Linked DNA regions of Drosophila melanogaster. The protein of the gene in region 1 purifies or fractionates together with the protein of each later gene. This does not show direct contact. Each region holds a gene or a part of one and is shown in the gene's direction. Other genes may lie near its edges. The genes, in order: Idh3b, FipoQ, SPE and CG31344.

What was found.
Region 2: the proteins of Idh3b (region 1) and FipoQ purify together in Drosophila melanogaster (affinity purification with mass spectrometry, with the first as the bait; one large-scale study listed by BioGRID). This does not show direct contact.
Region 3: the proteins of Idh3b (region 1) and SPE purify together in Drosophila melanogaster (affinity purification with mass spectrometry, with the first as the bait; one large-scale study listed by BioGRID). This does not show direct contact.
Region 4: the proteins of Idh3b (region 1) and CG31344 purify together in Drosophila melanogaster (affinity purification with mass spectrometry, with the first as the bait; one large-scale study listed by BioGRID). This does not show direct contact.

Annotation. Positions count from the first base shown.
Region 1 is NT_033777.3:22,015,604-22,021,710, reverse strand, and holds Idh3b (isocitrate dehydrogenase 3b), read left to right. Parts: upstream 1-2,526; 5' UTR 2,527-2,677; coding exon 2,678-2,719; intron 2,720-2,883; coding exon 2,884-2,931; intron 2,932-2,994; coding exon 2,995-3,087; intron 3,088-3,614; coding exon 3,615-3,731; intron 3,732-3,788; coding exon 3,789-4,370; intron 4,371-4,492; coding exon 4,493-4,723; 3' UTR 4,724-5,320; downstream 5,321-6,107. Other genes in the region: mitofilin, read left to right, coding at 1-127, 191-886, 989-1,009, 1,103-1,261, 1,319-1,607, 1,674-1,851; Theg (testicular haploid expressed gene), read right to left, coding at 5,622-5,884, 5,951-6,107.
Region 2 is NT_033777.3:29,493,831-29,499,423, forward strand, and holds FipoQ (F-box involved in polyQ pathogenesis), read left to right. Parts: upstream 1-2,710; 5' UTR 2,711-2,847; coding exon 2,848-2,943; intron 2,944-3,169; coding exon 3,170-3,494; intron 3,495-3,556; coding exon 3,557-4,175; intron 4,176-4,233; coding exon 4,234-4,401; intron 4,402-4,469; coding exon 4,470-4,673; intron 4,674-4,732; coding exon 4,733-4,868; 3' UTR 4,869-5,093; downstream 5,094-5,593. Other genes in the region: diedel, read left to right, coding at 49-396.
Region 3 is NT_033777.3:23,683,690-23,688,916, forward strand, and holds SPE (Spatzle-Processing enzyme), read left to right. Parts: upstream 1-2,565; 5' UTR 2,566-2,596; coding exon 2,597-2,672; exon of another isoform or gene 2,673-2,848; intron 2,849-3,022; coding exon 3,023-3,415; intron 3,416-3,631; coding exon 3,632-3,941; intron 3,942-4,001; coding exon 4,002-4,425; 3' UTR 4,426-4,458; downstream 4,459-5,227. Other genes in the region: CG16710 (uncharacterized protein), read left to right, coding at 1-195; CG18754 (uncharacterized protein), read left to right, coding at 368-440, 695-1,016, 1,492-1,725, 1,791-2,187.
Region 4 is NT_033777.3:15,221,884-15,227,176, reverse strand, and holds CG31344 (uncharacterized protein), read left to right. Parts: upstream 1-1,847; 5' UTR 1,848-2,030; coding exon 2,031-2,094; intron 2,095-2,242; coding exon 2,243-2,435; intron 2,436-2,789; coding exon 2,790-3,744; 3' UTR 3,745-3,799; downstream 3,800-5,293. Other genes in the region: Caf1-55 (chromatin assembly factor 1, p55 subunit), read right to left, coding at 1-540, 651-1,211, 1,263-1,284; Polr2G (RNA polymerase II subunit G), read left to right, coding at 4,085-4,096, 4,154-4,474, 4,532-4,669, 4,727-4,777; CG12241 (uncharacterized protein), read right to left, coding at 5,222-5,293.

The DNA of each region.
Region 1 (6,107 bases):
GTTGTAGACAAGGCCGTAGAGAATGGAGAGAACTCTCTTTGGACCACGCTGAAAAATCGAGCAAGTGCCCGTGATACGGCAGTGGCTACGGCAGAGCGAGCTGCCCGTGAGGCTCAGGAGAAGATTGGTAAGTCCATTGTTTGTTAAATAGATTCCAAATTTCAGTAACATTCCCTTCTATCAACTGCAGTCGCCTGCGAGATCGCCCTGAGTGCTGCGGCAACGGCCCAAAACGCAAAGAAAGTAGAGGCAGTGCGCGACAAGATCAAGAAGCTTGTGGACCACATTGGCAACGTAAAGGACGAGCTTTACCGGCACAAGGACACGGCCAGCGTGTCAGACAAGTACTGGCGGAATGTGGAGAAGGCGCGAAACTACTTCATTGACGAGATCGAGTCTATCTTCCCCGGCCTCAGTTTGGCGGATAAGAAACTTAATCTGTCAAAGGAGGACCTAGACTTGTTCATCCTGCACGCCTACACCCATGTCCTGGCCTACCAGAAGGAGCTGCAGCGCTTGCAAACCGATGGTGAGCTGCGCCTGAAGAGAGCTATTGACTCGGTTCGCGGTGACAACGATTCGGAGGCTTTGCGCGCCCAACTGGAATACCATTTGGAGGCCGAGCGGCGCAAACTGGCCGTGGAAAATCAAAAGAAAATCTTCCACATCCACGCCGAGTCTGATAAGCTGCTGCGCTTGCAGCTCAAAAAGCAAGCAGAGGCCCACGCCGATCATATAAAGGACATCGTGGCGCAGCGGGAGACCGATCTGACGCGAAGCTTTAAGCGTGAACTTGAGGATAAGCTGGCGACCGAAAAGGCCAACTATAAGTTACAATTGGCCGGGATGCTCGGCAAGCTGCGCGGAATGGACGCGGCTCTGGCAGGTAAGTTATACGTTTTAAACGATATCGGTTGAATGTAGCTAGTGTAGCGTGGCTAGATATATAATGGTTTTCAAACCTTTTCAAAACATGCTGCTATATTAGAGATAGAGGATGAGTTTCAAGGTATATTCACCCTATATGAAGGGTAGTACTTATACCAACTTATTCTTGGTTTAATCAAAATGTTTATTGACATTATATGCAACATTTTTGCAGAGCGTGCGGATGCAGAGCGTACTGCCAATCAGGCGCAGGCCCTTTGGGCCGCCTGCCAAGCTCTGTGGGCCTCCGTGCGCGCTGCCACTCCTGGCGTGCACTATAAGGATAGGTTGCGCCCGTTAAAGAACGAGATCAATGCCATTGCCAAGGTGGCTAGTAAGTTGAAACGTTTCCCACATTTCGATTTCAGTTGCTAAATGCATATGCTTACAGAGGGTGACGACCTGGTGGCCGCTGTGCTGGAAAGCGTCCCGAAGGAGGCTCAGGAGCGCGGTGTCTATCCAGAAGATGCATTGCGCGAGCGTTTCCTGAATGTGGAGCGCGTGGCGCGACGATTGGCTTTGGTGCCCGAGGAAGGAGCCGGCCTGCCCATCTACTTCCTGTCCTATCTGCAATCGCTGTTCATCTTGCGACCCGATAATCCCATATCCAAGGACGAACTCGAGAACAAACCCTTCGACTATAGCAAACTGGACACCTACGATATCCTAAACAGGGCCAGGTGAGGCGATTGATTCATCTATCACTAGAGTTATATAATATATATTATATATATTATGTTTCACAGGTACCATGTGGATCGCAGCGACTTTCTGCAGGCGCTCAAGTACATGAATCTGCTGCAGGGTGCATCGCGCAAGATTGCCGGCGAGTGGATGAAGGAGGCTCGCCTCATGCTGGAGACTCAGCAGGCGGCCAACACCTTGATGGCTCACGCCGCTGCCAGCGGACTATTGTATTTGTAGACTACGTCCCGTGTCCCCTTCCTTCAGAAACAAGATGATACACTTACTATTTGTTATTAGTCCAGGAGAAGATGGTACGATTACCAACAATATGTAATTTGTCCAATTAGCGATCACAGTTGAAACGAAATAGCACTTATATACATATATTTGTAACATTTTGTTTAGCTTCAATTATACAAATTAAACATAGAAACCATCATTATAAAATCCAAAACATAAATACTCTGGGAAGATTTGTAAAAAATTCGATACCAAGGCATGAATGGAATATGATATATTACTAAAGCTGAAATTGGCAAGCTTTGTGTTTCTGAAGAACAATGTGATTAGGCCATAAATAAACATAAAGAACATCCACTTGTTGTTTAATTTAGCGAAAAAAATTAATATAATAAATAAGTTGACTAAAAAGTATGCTGAATGTCAAAATTCAAATAAAATGCATTGGCTAAATTTAATTTCTCTGTTCTGAAAAGAAAGCATGGTAGGCAAGGCAAATGTATTCAAAAACAGGTTACTATGCGGTTGCCGCCAAATTTATTCCTTAAATAATCGTATATGTTCGTTACTAATTTTCGAACGCCAAAATCGCGATAGTTGGTCGTTAGCCAGCACTGGACGCGCCAGTTTCGTGGGCGGCTATCGCCAGCCCTGGTAGTCAGAGGCAATCAGCTGGTTTGCGTGGTCGATTTGGTCCTATTGAAATTTTTCGGTTTGGCACCGGAGCAAAAATCACATCGCAATCAAAAATTTCGCGTGGCCAAAGGACACACTTTTGAGTTTGGATCAACAGCCGGGAAGATCTAGCTAACCGAATAGCAAAATGTCGATGCTGGCGAGAACAGTTGGACGGACGTTCATGCAGGTAAACGGCCATCCAAACCGCAGCTCTTACATAAACACTTGCTCGCGACGCGCTGTGCGAATATTTCTGCGCTGAGGCCTAGTTCTTATACGTTTCTTTTTTTTTTTTTTGAGGTTATAATCCTAGCCAGCCTTAACGATTACATTGCATTCTTCTCGTTTTAGGCTGCGGCAGCACGTAGTCTGCACACCACGTCGACGCTACGGGCTACGGTGAGTGTTAAATGCGCTTATTAAGTGGCACCAGTTGTAACCGGAAAATAATTGGTCTTGCAGGATAACTACGGCGCCAACAGGACCACCTGCACACTGATTCCCGGCGACGGTGTGGGTCCCGAGCTGGTCTACTCCCTCCAGGAGGTCTTCAAGGTAGCTAACCATCCATCAAGTTGCAATCATTCACATACAGTATTCCAATGCGTCCTAATTCTTATAAATCTATACTCTTGCGTCTCTTGATCTCTCTTAAAAAAAAGGTTATTTAAGCTTAGGATCATTGCCAGCTTGGTTTCCTATTTAATAGAAAAGCTTTTTTTAAGCAAGTCGGCGTTTAGTTAGTTATGTACATATTTCTAGAATCTATTAGATTTAAAAAGCACAGGGCTCTAAAAATTAATTAATATATTTCACTCTTCACAGAGCGCATTGTATTTGATAACACTTCCATTTTTCCCGATCACGAGTGTTTTTATTATATAAATCAAAACATCAAACTTATCTGTATCGTAAAGATATGTGATAAGTGGCTGCTACTTGAAAATTTTAGTAGATTTCGGGATTTCCGTTTTAACTGAACATACATGTTCATACGTGCGACTAAATTAAAAAATGCTATGTAAATTCTTTAACTTTTCAAGCCCAATCAATATGCATAATTATCTTATCTTGTCGTTCAGGCAGCCAGCGTTCCCGTGGACTTCGAGTGCTACTTCCTTTCCGAAATCAATCCCGTGCTTAGTGCCAAACTGGAGGATGTGGTGGCATCCATTCAGAAAAACAAAGTGTGCATTAAGGTAAGTTTGCAAGAAAATAAAATAGTGTGATAAAATCTAAACAATGTGCTCCTTCAGGGCGTTTTGGCCACACCCGACTACAGCAATGTGGGTGACCTGCAGACCCTTAACATGAAGCTTCGCAACGACCTGGACCTCTACGCCAATGTGGTGCATGTGCGCAGCTTGCCCGGTGTCAAGACCCGCCACACCAACATCGACACGGTGATTATTCGCGAGCAGACGGAGGGCGAGTATTCGGCGTTGGAGCACGAGTCGGTGCCCGGCATTGTGGAGTGCCTGAAGATTATCACCGCCAAAAAGTCCATGCGCATTGCCAAGTTCGCCTTCGACTATGCGACGAAGAATCAGCGCAAGAAGGTCACCGCCGTGCACAAGGCGAATATCATGAAGTTGGGCGACGGTCTCTTCCTACGCTCCTGCGAAGAGGTTTCCCGGCTCTATCCGCGCATCCAGTTTGAGAAGATGATCGTGGACAACACGACCATGCAGATGGTTTCCAATCCCAACCAGTTCGACGTGATGGTCACCCCCAATCTCTATGGTGCCATTGTGGACAATCTGGCCAGTGGTCTCGTGGGCGGTGCTGGTGTCGTTGCTGGTGCCTCCTACTCCTCGGAATCCGTCGTCTTTGAGCCGGTAAGATTCGCCATAAAGACATAAAGATAATCCATAAGATCGTGATTTACACGGTTCTCGAGCCTAGCTGTGCGAATCCACTTCAGACTATTCTTATCTCTAATACCGATTTCCGATTGCAGGGTGCACGTCACACCTTCGCCGAGGCCGTGGGCAAGAACGTGGCTAATCCCACTGCCATGCTGCTCTGCGGCGTGAAGCTGTTGCGCCACATCAACCTGCCCACCTACGGCGAGATCATCCAGAATGCCATCAACAAGGTGCTGAACGATGGCAAGGTGCGTACTAAGGATCTGGGCGGACAATCGACCACGCAGGACTTTACCCGCGCCATCATCCTGAACATGTCCTAGATGGGCACCACTGTCATCGCCGGCATCGCGATCAGCAAGTCTACAACATCATGGGCAACAACGTTGGCGCTTATATAATCGACATTAGACAGTTTCTGTTGTTGCCACAGCTAAATTTTGAATTGTTGAAAGAAACACCTTGAAAGTTCTTAGTTATCCTATTACGTCCAATTTTTTTTATTTGTCCCGATGTCTTCAGTGCATTCATTTGAGTATTATTTCCGGCGAATATTTAAGTTTAGTCCAATTGAAACGCCTGCAGACCCGCCCCGAATCCAAAAGTTGCGAATTCTTTAGTTTTACCAATTGGCAGTAATACATCGATCCTTGATTATGTTGTAATTATTTACGTATTATTTCCCCCCCCCCCCCTTTTTGATTTCGCAAAGATGCTAATTTACGGTCGAATTATATTTTATGTTTAACCCGTTGAAAAGCAAAACAAAAAAAAAAACCGAAAACAAATGATATTGCTAAACCAATTAACTGATAACGGATGGCTTTGAGTGGACCCACTCCACTGGAGCTGTGAGAAAGATAACAATAAACTCAAATCTAAATTAATTATTATTTAAAAGCCATTGTCAGTTCCGAGCTGTCTAAATTTTAAGTAATACAAACAAAAGATAAAAAAAAAAACCCAAACATATTTCTCAAACTTTTTTTTGACTGGAATGAAAGGCCAAAGGAGATTTCATCGCTATTCCCAACTCCGGCGCCACTTTCACAGGAAATCCAATCCCGTAAAGAGCCGGAAAAGCTCTAGTTGTTTTTTAAAAAACCAAAAACAAATTTATTAGAAAAGTCGATACCAAATGTAGCCGAAATGAAAAACTTAGAACACCAATAAGGACGGTAATGATTATCCAGACGCACAGTCCACGTCCGTCTCCAATTATTATCCACCCTTGGGCTTGGCCAACTCGATGAGGCGTGGCGAGGCTTTGGCCTTCAGAGCCGCCGGCGATATGGCAAACGGATTCTCCCGGATATGCGTGTTCTCGAACTCCTTGGGCTCCGCCAGCTCCTTGATCCGCGTGCTCGCCTTGTATTTGAGCGCGTTTGGCGCGATACCGAATGGATTCTCCTTGACATCCGCCAGTCCTTGGTTGGCATCGCGCGTGGTAAGTGGCTCGGACATCTCCTTGATGCGGGCACTCGCTAAGTGAAGCAATGCCAGGTGCTGCATTATTAAAAGATCAACTAAATTGGAGTATGTGTACTTACGCTTGTAGCGAAGGGCATTGGGCGAGACCTTCTCCGGATTCTCGTTGATGTGGACATTATCGCGCACGACGGGCTGCGATATTTGCTTGATCCGCTTGGTCGCCTTGTAGTCCTTCATCTGGGAGGTCAGCTCCCACTTGGGTTTGATCTCCTCCAA
Region 2 (5,593 bases), 7.5 Mb from region 1:
CGCTGTTTGCCGGGGTGAAAAGCATTAGTTCTCCCAGTAAATCCAATCATGGCATCCCCAGTAGTCAGCCTGCTTCTCGTCGGGATCTGCGCCCTGGCCTTTGTCCATGTGGCTCGGTCGGAATGCTGCACCTCCCGGGAGCTGGTGGAATTCAAGATGGACAGAGGCGACTGCGAGGCTGTGCGTGCAATCGAAAACTATCCCAACGGCTGCGAAGTGACGATCTGCGCCGATGGTGTTGCCCAGTTGGGCGCCTACTGCGGCCAGGGATCGTGCAACATCTTCGGCTGCAACTGCGACGGCGGCTGTCTGAGCGGCGATTGGTCACAGGAATTTGTGAGGAGGAACCAGCAGTACGGAATCCAGATCATCAAAGTCACCAGGCTGCCATTTTAACCCCTTGCATCACATAAACAATAAAGAGAAGCTTTAATTGCATCCAGAAATTACTAATTAATTATGTGTATTTTATTTTATATATGCATGAAATTGATAAGGTTCCCACTTTCTAATCAAATGTAAACAGTTCAATCTGATTACTAGGAACTATTCTTATTTTTAATCTTGAATTCCATTAATTACGCTATTAACTAAAACTATTATACTAAAAAAAAAACAACTATCATCAAAATCTGAGATGATATGGGCTAATTTTTGAATAAAATCCAGTGCTCAAATCATAAGAAGTGATTTTTTGTAGTTTCTAGCATTTGTAATATCTGTTTCCCAACGATCGACCACGCCCCCTGGGCAACCGCCCCTCTGTTGGCCGCTCGCCATGGGAAAAGCAAATGACGCCTGCACTCGCAGAGATCGCCCCGAATAACCCCTCCATATCCACAGATCCACAGATCCCCAGATGCCCATGTAGCCATGTACTCCGCATGTAGTACGATCAACTAGCCGAGTGAATTTTGGCATAAACCATTTTCCGCGGACGCCTGATTTTCTCAGTTTTCTCAGAGTTGTGGAGCCGTCGAGAACGCGGAGCATTCGCCCATGTAAAGCCGCAGAATCCGTCGATTTTCGCCGGAATTTATCAATCCGATTTGCCAGTAATTTGCAACAGAATAAGTGAATTTGCCAAGTGAATTTCCCTAGTTTTTTTTTTCAACTTGCAACGAAAGTGCTAAAGTTACGAAACTGCACTTTCCACGTTGCACTTGCAACCCCAACAGTTTTTTCCACCAGATCCACCAGCTGAGGGAAAACTATTAATAAACCGGGCGAAGGATGAAACAAATTCAGATGTGACGCCCATCCTCGTCGAAAATCAAAAGTCGCAAGTGAACAATGTGTGTGTGTTCACTGAGTTTGCATAATTGTGAATTTGCTATTTTAATCGCCTGCGGGCATCAATTAATTAATTAATTAAAAGCTTTCCTTCTCGCACTCGTTTATTTGCGGAAAGTGTCTAACAATTTCGTTTGATCAACTAATCAAATGGGTAAATAACATAGTAAAAACGAAGTTTTAACTAACTGCTTTCGCTTGCTTACTTAATATACTTATACTTTCCAGAACTAATAGACTACTGAATATAGATTTCCTATTAATTTGCTTCAAAATGTGGTAATTTAATTAGCTTAGCTGCTTGTAAACTAATAATTTCTAAATAACAATTAGTTTGAAATGCTCAGAATTCAGTGTGACTAATTGGGAAAGCCTTGCAGAAATAGTTTAGCTCATGAATGAATGTATCTCATGCGAGTATAGCCGGCACATCTCCTCCCTTAGTTAGATACATAGATACATAGATACATAGATAGAAGCGGACGGATCCAGCAAGACCATACATACATACATATTGTACAGCTGAGACAGCGAACACCTTCAGCTTTCCGGCTGATCCCAATCCAAATCGCGAACTAGAGCGCAGTGCCCACCATGGATAATTGGAATGTTTTGGCAGCGCAAACCTCCTCGCAGGCCATCGGACTCCACGACTCTGGCGTGGTGAAGACCCGACTGGTGAGTACCCTGTACATAGAACATACACATGTGCAGATAGATATACATATTAGATGTAGTAAACAAAACAAAGCCAGACAGACGAACGATGGCGTATATATAGAATTCTTGGCAACAAACATTGTGCACTGAGAAAGTAAAAGGGGTTCGAAATCTATTATTACTATTAAATATATATATGCAAAAGCAGGCTGTGCGGAAATGTATCTTAAAGTAGGCGCTAAAGGATAAAGCTCAGAAGGTTATTCCTCGGGAAACAGAAGCATTTTCAGATGCATCTTAAAGTATCTAAGAAGTAGAAATATCTTAAGATGAATCCATAGGTTATCCGAACCTACAAAAGGTAGATACTATCAGCAATATCAGATACTTTTAGATATAAGTAAAATATAGTAAAATATCTCGAGATACTTTTATACAGCTTACTAATGATTTTGAATCTGACGAGGAAAGGAAGAGATTTGGCAGGGATTTTATCAGCATGTTTCTCCACGTGCACCGCTGGGTGAGTGGTGCTGGTGGTTCTAGTGGTTCTATTTGTTCTTAAAGAGTGCGTGAGTGGTGTGGTGCGTCGCCCGTGAACAGCACAGCTGATGCATCCGAAAGTAGAGTGATTGAGTGATGCGATGTGGCAGTGCTCTCGTTACTGGCGCTGGTCTATAAATAAGCCTAGGGTTCTCTTGAGTCTACTACTGCCTGGCGGATCTTTGGAGATTCCGATGGCACGTCGATGGGAATGCGGCTCGCAGTAGCGCGAAAGTAGCTCGATACGACGGATATTCTCGCCTCGCAGGCAGAGCACGCGTAGTTTGCCCCGTGTGTAGCTATATTTTTTTTTTATATAAGCAAGTGGTTCCGAATCATCCACACCCAGCCATGGATATATCCACCGATATCTGGGGTCAGCTGGCCGTGGAGGCATCGCAGGTCTACCTCTCCGACGGCACAGTTCGCAGTCCCTTCGCCGATACGGTACGATGGGTTTGGGATATTACTTAGGGATCCCACTCATTTGGGAGAGCCAGTCTGTGGCGTAAGAGAGAGTATCTATAGATTCACTCACCCGTAGAATATATAGCACCACATTCGCACTCAACTATTCCGAACTGTCGTTTAGATTTACATTTAGAGATCATATTTGAATCACTTATGTAGTACCATAGGATATACCACTATATATCGTGACTCTCATCCACAGACCATTGAGAAGCTGCCGGACAAGGTGCTGCTGCACATCTTCTCGTATCTGTCGCACCGCGAGATCTGCCGCCTGGCCAGGATTTGCCGACGATGGCGGCAGATTGCATACGACACGCGGCTGTGGAAGAACGTGAGCCTGCGACCGGAGGTCTCCGGACTGCACGTGGGCTCGCTGGAGATGCTGCTGCAGCTGATCTCGGTGAGATTCGGACCGACTCTGCGCTACATCGAGCTGCCCATCGAGCTGATCACGCACACGGTGCTCCACGAACTGTCCGCCAAGTGCCCCAATTTGACCCACATGCTGCTGGACTTCTCCACAGGTGGGTGCGCCACGTCGCCGATCGTCCGTCTTAAACTCTAGAGTGTCCTGTGTACTTCTTAGCCATGCAGCTGCACGACTTCAGCGAGATGCAGGCCTTTCCCACCAAGCTGCGCTACATGTGCGTCTGCCTCTCGGAGGTGATCTTCATGGAGGGCTTCATGCGCAAAATCTACAACTTCATCAACGGCCTGGAGGTGCTGCATCTAATTGGCACGTACGAGAAGTGCGAGGAGGAGGAGGAGGAGATCTACGAGGTGATCAACGTGCACAAGCTCAAGTCGGCCACGCCCAATTTGCGTGTGATCAACCTGTACGGCATCAACTTCATCGATGACTCGCACATCGACGCCTTCAGCTCGAACTGCATCCAGCTGGAGTGCCTGGCCGTCAACTTCTGCAACAAAGTGACCGGCTCCACCCTGAAGACCCTGATCCAGCGTTCCAAGCGCCTCACCTGCCTGCTCATGAACGGCACCAGCCTGAAGTCGGAGTTCGTCATGCAGGCCGAGTGGGACAAGTGCGCCCTGCAGGAGCTGGACATCACGGCCACCGATCTTTCGACCGAATGCCTCGTGGACATGCTGAGCAGGATCCCCAGCCTCAAGTTCCTCTCAGCCGGCCAGATCAATGGCTTCAACGACAGCGTTCTCAAGCAGTGGATGGAATCGGGCACCACCAGGTGAGCGGAGACAGTACCTACCCGTCTGTGTAAGCACTCCGATAGCAGTATGATTTAGGTCGCTCATTTCCCTGGACTTGGACTCCTCGGACAACATCTCGGATGAGGGCCTGCTTAAGTTTATACAGCGCCAGGGTCATCAGCTGAGCGCCTGCTGTCTCTCGGGCATGCCCCACATCACCGACCAGCTGTGGATGAGCATCCTGCCCCTGCTGGGCAACTGCAAGTAGGCGACACTATTGGTCATCGAATGAAAAGACATTTTATTATGAGCTGAACTTTCTTAACCTGCAGGATCATTGTTATGGGCACCGCAGAGAAGCTGGGCGTCAACATCCACGTGGACCAGCTGATGGACACCATCGCCTCGAATTGCGGCAACTTGGAGCGGCTGGAGCTGCGCTGGGATCCGGACAACCTGCGCTTCTCCGACAAGAGCCAGAAGGCCATCGATATTCTGCGCGTCAAGTGCCTCAAGCTGCGCTGCATGGTGCTCAGGTGGGTCTACATCAGACTCCTATTTCTATGCGGGATTAACATCAATATTTCGCTTCCAGCGATGGTCGCTACTATGAGACGGTCAAGGCCAACTTTGAGCGTGCCGATCGCATCACCGTGGTGCGCACCACCACCTGCTGCCGTGTGTCTCCCTATCACCTGCTCCGCAACTACAACGATTTGATTTTCAACTGAGCCTCTGAGGTTCAGAGCTGAAAGCCAAGAGAGGATTGGTAGCTTGCACTTACCCGGTTGCAGAGCTCTGGATGGGATTTACCCACAACAGGGCCGGAGGAGAAGCAATGTTTCTGTGTGTTTTCGCTTACAATAAGAGTGTTTTAATGTTTTCTGTATTTTCCGCTTCTTTCGTTTAATTACTTTAAATCTAAATAAACGTACATAGGTAATTTAAATAAAAACAAAACAAGGATTTGCTTATACAAGTTATTTTTACATTACAAAATTATACAACGCAACTTTTCGCCTTGCTCTCGTTTTTAAATCATTTTTTTTTTTTTTTTAATCATTTCAATCCGCGTTGATTCGTGTTTTGTTTTTAACTAGATTTACTTGGTAACTTGATTAAATCATTTTCAGACTTCACCACATAAAATGTTTATCGTTTTTGCGTTTTAGCGTTTTGCTGATGATTTTTACACTGCTTTCATCCATTGCAAACTTAATGCTAATTTAATTTTTTTTTTGTGTGTGTATGTTTCAACATTTTTGAATCGACTTTTTACCATAAACTTAACGTACATATGTAGATCATCTCCGTTTGAATTATCGTCTCATTGCCGATCAGCGTTCAGCTATTATATGCATGGTATATAATTTAGTTAAGCATAGCTGCGTGAGTTATACATACGTAATGTCTGTGCCTATGACGATATAGGATCGAAGGTGGGTGCTGTGGTCGA
Region 3 (5,227 bases), 1.7 Mb from region 1:
AATGACACATGCAAGGGCGATTCCGGCGGTCCGCTGATGGCCATCATGGAACGTGGTGACGAGGAATTCGTATATCTAGCCGGAATCACATCCTACGGGTACAGTCAGTGCGGATACGGACCAGCAGCTTACACAAAGACATCCAAATTCGTTGAATGGATTCTATGGAACATGTACACTAATATATTCCAATGAAATAATCAAAATAGTAGAATTTGGTTAAGAAAAGAAATATTTATTGTCCGGCACTGAGCCCAAATTATCGCAAAAATAAATTAGGAAATTTCATTGAGTCATTGGGATTTATGAGTTTGTTGATCCATTTTATTCTGTATATTTAGTGTCAGATCGAGTTTGGATGTCTAGCATGTCGGACAGACGTAAAGTTTATATTTTGGTCCTTCTCCAGGCCATTTTCTTCAACCAATTGGCTGAGTGTGGTAAGCAAAAGCAATGATTTTTAAGTTTTCGTAAAAAACCGAAGATGTTATATCTTGCTCAATAATATCCTTGCAGAGGATGTGTGCTGTGAATAGGTCACGTTCGACCCCATGAATTATAAAAATTATCATATCCATCGATCCGTTTTATTATAAATCATATTCAAAAATAATAATAATAATAATATTTCCACATAGACTCGTACTGCTATACTTTATCGGGGCTTTCACTTATCTATTTTTGTAATTTATAGTTCGGTTATCAAGCTGCCAAAAGGATGAGAAATGCACCAGACTGGTTAGCTGCTCGCCGCTTATGAACATCCTTAGGCCCCGGGGCATGACCCAGGCGGAGAAAGATGTGTTTGCACACAGGCAGTGTGGCCTGGACCCCAATGGACACGAGTTGTTGCACATGGTTTATGTCTGCTGCCCAGAGTTGGGTGACGTCTTGCCCAACAAACAGACCTGTGGACAAACGACGCCCGTGTTCCGAGATCGGGGTGCCGAGAATGCAGAGCTTAATGAGTACCCTTGGATGGTATTGCTGTTATATGAGAATCGGCTATCCTTGATGTGGAATCAACGAACTGGTTGTGCGGGCTCACTGATCAACAGTCGCTGTTCACACATGAACACGAATATATTTAAAGACTTACAATTTTGGGCTCCGTTCATATCTTATGTAAATGAATCGAGAGCGATAAATTATATTTAGGATTTTGTTATCTAAGGCGACATGGGTGCATTGCTCAAAAACATGTAATTTAAGTGCACACTACATGAGTCAGTCACTTGAGATCTTTCCCCGCCTCCTAAAATAGTCCCTTAGTGGGAGACCACAGATAAGGTCCTCGCCGCTCAAGATAGGCAGATGTGCCCGAGCGTGGGACCTCGATAAGGCGGGGACTATTTACTTAGGCCTCTGCGTAGGCCATTTACTTTAAGATGCGATTCTCATGTCACCTATTTAAACCGAAGATATTTCCAAATAAAATTAGTTTCTTACAAAAACTCAACGAGTAAAGTCTTCTCATTTGGGATTTTACAGTCGCTATGTGCTGACCGCTGCCCACTGCGTGATCGGTGGTTACTTGACGCAGAATGACCTGGTTCTGAAGAGTGTGCGCCTGGGCGAGTCCACTACCGACTGCATCACCTCGGAAAGCAGGTGTCCACATTTGGATGTGGAGGTGGGGCAAACAACAGTACATCAGGGTTTCACTTCGAGTGGCGGAACTTACCGCAACGACATCGCCCTCCTCCGATTGCAATTCCCAGTGCGGTGAGTAGCAGTGATCTCCACCCTAATCTCCACATCTTATGGAAATTTCTTTACAAACCCGCTAGATACACGAAAAAGATCCAACCCATTTGTCTATTGGACGCCGAATTTCCCCTACAGGATTTGAATTTGCAAATCTCTGGCTGGGATCCGACTAAAAGCAGTCAAACGTTGATCACCAGCACGGTCAAGGAAAGGAATCCTGCTGATTGCTTGAATAGGTATCCCAGCTTTCGCTCCGCGTCCCAAGTATGCGCCGGTGGTCAACGGAAAGGGGACACCTGTGCGGGCATCTCCGGCAGTCCGGTAATGGGCATCATGGGAAGCGGCGTCGACGAGTTCGTCTTTTTGGCAGGCATTGCCTCATATGGACAACAATATTGCTACTCTGCTGGTATTCCAGGTGTTTACACAAAAATTGGCCACTTTTCGGAGTGGATCAAAGCGAATTTGGCTCCCTAATTTTAATAAAGAATTCATATTTGCAAAATTGGAATAGCATCTGTTCCATTAATCCACTACTATAAAGTAATAGACCTATAAAACCCCAAAAGATAAGAAAAAGCACTGAAGATTGTTTTTTAAAAAACGTGTTGTTCAAAAAACATAACGTGCCGAGAGAAGATTAAGCATAAATAAATTTCTAATAACTACACCGCTGGGTTTGCCCAGCTCAGCAGAACTACTATGTAAATATTAAGGCAGGGAAAGACCACCCTATTCACATAGCTTTTGCCTTTGTTGCAATCTAGATGGTATTGAGTCCGGAGATAACCTCTGCTAATCACGCCCAATGCATCGGGAGAGAATCGGTGACAGCGAAACTGCCGGACAGCTTGGTTAGTATCAGCTTGGAGCCCATAGCGACGAGATGGCTTCTACGGAACGGAATTTTCTGCTACTGTCACTGGTGGTCAGCGCATTATCCGGCTTGGTCCATCGATCAGGTGGGTAAGCTGTCCTTTGGGCAAACAATATCCACAGCAACTGGATGCAATGGTGCTTCTTTCAAAAGTATATAGTTCTATATATATAGTATAGTATAGTATATAGTTTGAATAAAGCTAGAAAAACTAAGCACTTGACCTTGTTGATTGTGAGAATAAAAACCATAACAACTAATAATCAAAGAGTTTTTGAAAACTTCAAATATATTAAATATCAACATATAGTTTCCCGGACTAAGAAATTTTATGAGAAATATTAGACATGAAGTCCATTAGTAGAATGGATTGCCTTTAATGGATTGGTTCAGAACCGGTTAGACTGCATCGTAAATCGCGCTCTTCTCTTCCAGACGCAGCGGAGATCAGCTTTGGCAGTTGTACGCCCCAGCAGAGCGATGAGCGCGGCCAGTGCGTTCACATCACCAGCTGCCCCTACCTGGCCAACCTGCTGATGGTGGAGCCAAAGACTCCCGCCCAGCGAATCCTTCTCTCCAAGAGCCAGTGTGGCCTGGACAACAGGGTTGAGGGCTTGGTGAATCGAATCCTGGTCTGCTGTCCGCAGAGCATGCGGGGCAATATCATGGACTCGGAACCAACTCCTTCGACGAGGGATGCACTGCAGCAGGGGGATGTGCTGCCTGGAAATGACGTCTGCGGCTTCCTTTTCGCTGATCGCATTTTCGGGGGCACCAATACGACCCTCTGGGAATTCCCATGGATGGTATTGCTGCAGTACAAAAAACGTGAGTAGATTACCTACCCAGGCTCTATTTTAATCTCTTATAGGAAGGTTGTTTCACGAGGTCACCTGTAATCATTTTTTAATCACTTTTTCAAATCAAATTCTCCAATGGGGGGATCATCATTATAAGAAAACGCATATTCAATATATACAAGGCTATTATTAGTATCTAATCAATTTATAATATGTACTTGGGAAACGCTCTTTATCCTTTCAGTTTTTTCTGAAACCTACACTTTCAACTGCGGCGGTGCATTGCTCAACTCGCGCTACGTCCTGACCGCTGGACACTGCCTGGCCAGCCGAGAACTGGACAAATCCGGTGCCGTTCTACACAGCGTTCGCCTGGGGGAGTGGGACACTCGTACCGATCCTGACTGCACCACCCAGATGAACGGACAGCGCATCTGTGCACCGAAACACATCGACATTGAGGTCGAGAAGGGCATCATCCACGAGATGTATGCTCCCAATTCCGTTGATCAGCGTAATGACATTGCGTTGGTGCGCCTTAAGAGGATTGTTAGGTATGTGGTCCAGAGATCCCTCAATTATTCCACTGACTTGCTTTTTTGTTTTTGCCACAGCTACACCGACTACGTGCGTCCAATATGCCTTCCCACGGATGGTTTAGTCCAAAACAACTTTGTGGACTACGGCATGGATGTGGCCGGCTGGGGACTTACCGAGAACATGCAGCCAAGTGCGATCAAGCTGAAGATCACCGTCAACGTTTGGAACCTAACGAGTTGTCAGGAAAAGTACTCCAGCTTCAAGGTGAAACTGGACGATTCTCAGATGTGTGCCGGCGGCCAGTTGGGCGTGGATACATGCGGTGGCGATTCCGGCGGTCCCCTTATGGTGCCTATATCCACGGGCGGCCGGGATGTCTTCTACATTGCCGGCGTCACCTCCTACGGGACGAAGCCCTGCGGCCTCAAGGGATGGCCCGGCGTCTATACCCGCACGGGGGCTTTCATCGATTGGATAAAGCAGAAATTGGAGCCATGATGAATACATACTTAAATACATGATAACCATGTGAAAAGCGCGATGTAGATATTGGGGTTTAATCAATTCACATGAGATCGGCACTGTCAAGTTTTGCGAGCACAACCGGTTGTAATAATATCGAACCACTTTTCTGTCAATCTGTGATCAGCAAAGTCTGGTAGTAGCTTGCCCACGTAATTTCCCATATTCTAATGGAAAAGTAGAGGAAAATCTCTGGAACTCATTTATCTCTGTTGCAATAGCCATCTCACTTGTCAATCTAGACGGCAGATGTGCCGGAGAGCTTGGTCAGTATCGGATTGGGTTCTGGGGTATCGAGATGGCTTCCATGGAATGGAATTTTCTACTATTGCTAATGGTCATCTGCGCATTTTCCGAGTGGGTCCAACATTCAGATGGGATGCCATAAACGACAACGATTTCACCTGGATCCGCTTAAAATTTTGAAATATATCCACACACGAGGTGGAGAAGGGCATTGTACATGACCAATAGTTGCCTAATTCCGTAGACCAGCAGAATGACATTGCTTTGGTTTTGAAAAGGAGTGGCATTGAAAAGGAGTGGCGGGTGTGTGGGATGTGTGAGTATTCCATAACTTCTTCATCATTGTTATTCATTCACCAGCTACACCGACTACGTGCGCCCCATTTGCCTGCCCACGGGCGATCTGATCCAGATCCAATTGTGCGCCGGCGGCATGTACGGCTATGGATACCTGCGATGGCGATTCTGGCGGTCCCTTGATGGTGTCCATATCCACAGGCAGCCGGGACGTATTCTACATCGCTGGCATTAC
Region 4 (5,293 bases), 6.8 Mb from region 1:
CATGGATGAAGAGCAGCTCGGGTGGTCCGTCCTCAGCATCCTCCGTACTCTGCTCCTCGCCGATTTTGGACAAATCCCAGACGTGTAGGCGGCGGTCAGTGCCGGAGGAGGCGAGAATAGTCTCGTTATGCGGCGACCACTGCACTTGGAAGATCTCGTCCTTGTGCGACTCGAAGGAATGTAGTTTTAGCTTGAGGTTGCGCAGATCCCATAGAGCTACAGTCTTGTCAGCGGAGCCCGTGGCCAGAATGAACTCCGAGTAGGGATTAAAGCTCAAGCAATTGACTTCCGCTGTGTGAGCGTCCACTGTATGCGAGGGCTTCGAGGTGTTGTTGTTGCGCGTGTCCCAGATCATCAGCTTCTGGTCGTCAGCCACCGATCCGAACAGAGACTCATGTAGCAGATGCCAAGCCACGTCCTCAACAACGGCGGTGTGGCCGGTGAAGATGTTCTTGGCATCAATAACCCTATGCTCCTTGGGTGTGGCATTGATGTCCCACAAGCAGATGGTGTGATCATCAGAGGCTGACAGCAAATAGCCTGTAAGGACAATCAAGATGTTCATTAAGGGTTAAAACGTAATGCATTTTAGATGTGTCAAGCTCTTATCTGAGCTAATATATAAGTACTAGGTACAGCTACGCACTTACCATTGAGGTTGGGATTCCAAGAGAGTCCGTAGCCTTCCTTTTGATGACCGCGCAGCCGCAGGTCAGGCTGGCACTCGCCAGACGGTTCCGGCTTGCTGGGATGCTTCGTGTAGTCGAAGACCAGGACATCACTCGACGGCGTCTTGGTGGCGATTACACAGGCGTTCTGGGGCATGTAGCGGGCCCTGTTCACTTCGCCCTCGTGGTTGATCTTAATCTCGATTTCGATTTTGCCGCACACCGATCCAAAGCCTCCAAACTCGCCCTTCTCGTTATCGTAGTGCGAACCATCGAACTGGGCATCCTCGCTGGGCAACTGAACGCTGGCGATGAGTAGATGGTTCTGCTCGTCAGATGTGTGTGTGCCCAGTATAAGACGATGTACCGAGTAGTCCTTGCCATCCTGCTTGGTCACGTCCGGCAGCCACTGGGCAGTCAACGAGGGCCATTCCAGGGCATGCGTCATGACCAGATCGTACAGGAACGGCGTGTTCTTTTTCCAAATCTTATACTCCTCATTGATCACGCGCTCCTCGACGGCGTCGTCGAAGGATTCCGCTGCTAAAGGTCGATGGTTACACATTGCGGCGATTAACTTCTAACCGGACTTACCATTATCGCTGCGATCCACCATTTCGAGGCTTTTAGGCACGCAATTTCTCAGTCTGCGTCAAAAGTCGGCAGCCGAAAAAATCGGGCGCCAAAACAAAAGCCGAAGCGGCAAAACGTGTGCAGAAAAACTACGAAAGTTCGCTACGTAGTTAAAGCTCTCGCAACGAACACTTGACCGAAAGTCGTTGTGGCAGGGATTGAGTCGAATCCTGGCCGGGAACTTACACTTTAAACGGCGTAACGTCAGGGCAAAATAGAAATTGGCTAATTTCCTTCGTTTTTTTGCAAGCGCGTCGTCGATGATAGAGATGCAATGCTAAAGATTGTCGAGACGACTGCCATATTCGATTACGATAACGATAACAGAGTTATGGAGATGACACTGCGCGGTATTTTTATACTTGTTACGTTCCTGCGTCATGATTTTAGTATTTTGTGGTTTACATCGATATATTTGGGGTTTTAAAAGGTATATTTTAACGGTTGCAGTTGCGGGCACACTAAAGTGCATAAACAAAGTTTACTACTTAATTCGTTATCAGTGCGAATGATTCGAAACCAGTTTACGCGCCAATGACCGGCTTTCCATTCTTATTTGACGAGCCTAACGTGCCAGTTGCAGTTAAGTTCCCCAACCGCAACGACGGTGGGCAGCCGTGATTCATCCTCAACGCTTTTTTTCCAATTGTGTATGCAAAATGTTTTTGCACGTAACGAGCTGAACTATTGAGTTTGCTAAATAGTTTAACAAGCAATAATTTGGCCGACATGCAGGTTGATGGTTGTACCAGCAGCTCATCCGAGATCCCCCATCCCGCGAAGCGTGAAACGTGTAAGTGCACAGTGGACTTGTTGGCGGGTTGAATGAAAAACTTTCTCTCTTGGCGCGCCGACGATTTTGTTTGTCTTTTCTTTCTTTCACTTGTGTAATCCGAATTTGGACCTCAAGCTCGTTTTCTACATCGCACGTCACTTTCCAGGGATCAGTGGGAAAATGCAGTCGTCATCGCATTCCAAAGATGGTCATAATGCAGCGGGGGCTTCAAAACTGCTTCAGGATCACCAGGAGCCCGAGGACTACTTGGAGCACCTAATGAAGGAGGGCAGTCAGGAGGGCGACAGCGGTGCTGATTTGGAGCTACCTTCGTGGTACGATGAGCAGCTATTCAGGCGGTAAGTTGCGTGACTAATTGTTCACTGATTGCATATTAGCCCAGTAACCACAGTAGAAATAATTGTGATAATTACAATATCCATATACACATGGGTTATTTATAAGCTTGGAGTTATGTAGCAGTTTGCTATGTGAATAATAATGCGAAAAGGCAGCATATAATACTTATCTTTATCTGTGCTCATTATTCCAATTTTGTACCTACGGGCTTACATATTAATAACAAAAGGCGACATACATTTACTTTTAACAATATATATGTATATGTACATGTATGTATATGTATATTTTAATTTAAATAATATAACTGCATTCGAATTACTTAATTGATTCTTTATTCCTTTTCCTTGCAGTGGTCAGAGCTACTTTAGCACGTATCGCTTTGTAATGAACGCCGGAATGCTGGCTGGTCTTATTGCCGTGCTGGCTATTCCATCCATTCTCCGGGTGCTGTCGTGCACACGCCAATCCTCGACAGCGTTCACCGCCTACCGTCGCTATGTGCGTACTATATTCCACACGCAAGCCTGGTATAACCACAACATCGCGGACCGTGGCAGCAGGTTCTGGACCAGCATTGCGGCCGTGAGGCGGGCCCACAGCCGCTCCAGTCATGCGTGCGCCCGCCAAGGAGCTGGACAGATCACCCAGAAGGATTTGGCGCTCACGCAGTTCGGTTTCATTGGCTTCATAACGATGGGCGCACATCGCATAAAGCTGAAAGATCAGGACTTCCTGGAGGCCACTACGCATATGTGGCGCGTTCTCGGCTATCTGCTGGGCATCAAGGATGAGTACAACATCTGCGGTAGGAACTGGGCGGAGTCAAAGCTCCGCCTGGACATTGTGATGCGTAAGGTATACGAACCAGCTCTGGCAAACACTGGGGAGGATTTCAAACGAATGACCGAGGCCCTGATTAATGGCTTGTGGCACATAAACACCATGCTGTCGGTGAATGCCAACATATTCTTTGCCAAGCGATTGGCCTGCGTTAAGGGATACGAGTACTACAGTTTCGATCATGAGAACGGAGTGGCGCAGGATCCCCAGCAGAAGCTGCACTACTACGACATGGGATGGTGGGACCGATTCATAGTCAGCTACGGCCTGTTCCTCGTCACATATCTGCACAGGTATGCCCTGGTGCGATGGTACTTGAACTTCCGCGTCTGGCTGGTGGACATATTCACCTATTACTTGCCCTACGTCGCCATTTGGAAGTTTGGCCCGAAGTCCGCGTATGTGCGGATTTTCAGGAATGGCGGGGAAGCCCAAGACTTTGCCCTGGGCTTGAAGGACGATTAGATAGTGTTGTGTTTCAGTAGGTAAATTATCAATAAATATGCAAAGTAATTGTTGTAAAAGGAATGTTGAGTTTATATTTTAACCATATTTAATGAACGGGCTGTAGTTCATGTTGATCATATAAGAAATGTTGAATGACTTGAAAATCGAACACCTCCATAAATTATCGTATTTAATTAATTAATTATTTTATTTTTCTTTCTAAACAGATCGTTATAATTATTGGCGGTAAATTACGCGCTTCTGTTTTTTTTACATTTCCGAATCTGGTCACACTTGCGGCAGCATCTTTTGGGTTCCGGCTGTTTACTTTAGTTTTTTACCTTAAATTTAATTAACAATGTTTTACCACGTGAGTATTTCATTCTCCGAATAGAGCAAAAATAAATGCCAACCCCTTGCGCCGTAGATATCGCTGGAGCAAGAGATTCTGCTTCATCCACGTTACTTTGGCCCGCAACTGCTGGAGACCGTGAAGCAGAAACTCTACTCCGAAGTGGAGGGCACCTGCACGGGAAAGTACGGATTCGTGATAGCGGTGACGACGATAGATCAAATCGGATCGGGTGTCATCCAGCCGGGCCAGGGATTTGTGGTGTATCCGGTCAAGTACAAAGCTATCGTCTTTCGGCCATTTAAGGGCGAAGTTCTGGACGCAGTGGTCAAGCAGATCAACAAAGTGGGCATGTTTGCAGAGATCGGCCCGCTGTCCTGCTTCATTTCGCATCATGTATGTTAAGTCTGAGGGATCTAAGGTAACACTTTTTAACGGGCGATTCTTTTTTAGTCTATTCCCGCCGACATGCAGTTCTGCCCGAATGGGAATCCGCCCTGCTATAAGAGTAAAGATGAGGATGTGGTTATCTCCGGAGAGGATAAGATTCGGCTGAAGATTGTGGGCACACGAGTAGATGCCACTGGAATTGTAAGACGCTCCATAAATATAAGTACTTTTCGCAAGTTAATACTCTAATATTTCTAGTTTGCAATTGGCACTTTGATGGACGACTACTTGGGATTGGTGTCCAACTAAATTCAATCGTTTTGCGTACAATTTATATATATATATATATTAAACTTTAATGAAATGCATTTAGACAGTTAAACATCTATGTGTATATAGTAATAAATATGTCTGTACTTTATAAGATTTGATTTCAATTAAAGGTACGTTACATTTGTAATTTAGTAGATTGGTGTGGTCTAGGATTTATAATAATGGATGGACATTAAGTAAACAAACGGCTCGAGCTATACATAGGGCGTTTTAAAGGTATAGTTACAGCTACAGATCGTTATGGTAAAGCACTTAAGTTAGGTGTACGACAACAAAGAAGTACTTAAAAAAGCGATAGCTTCGATTCAAAGAATTGCGATTGCACTTAGAAATGAAAGAACAGAGAAGGGGGCAATGAGATATTGGATACGCAGTTGATTGCCAACGATTGTGGAGCTCCTTACAAGGCGGCAGCAAGCCTCACAGATCCCATGAGAAGAGATGGTGCTTCACCAGCATGTCCCTTACTCCGTCCTTGAGCGGTTGCGACTC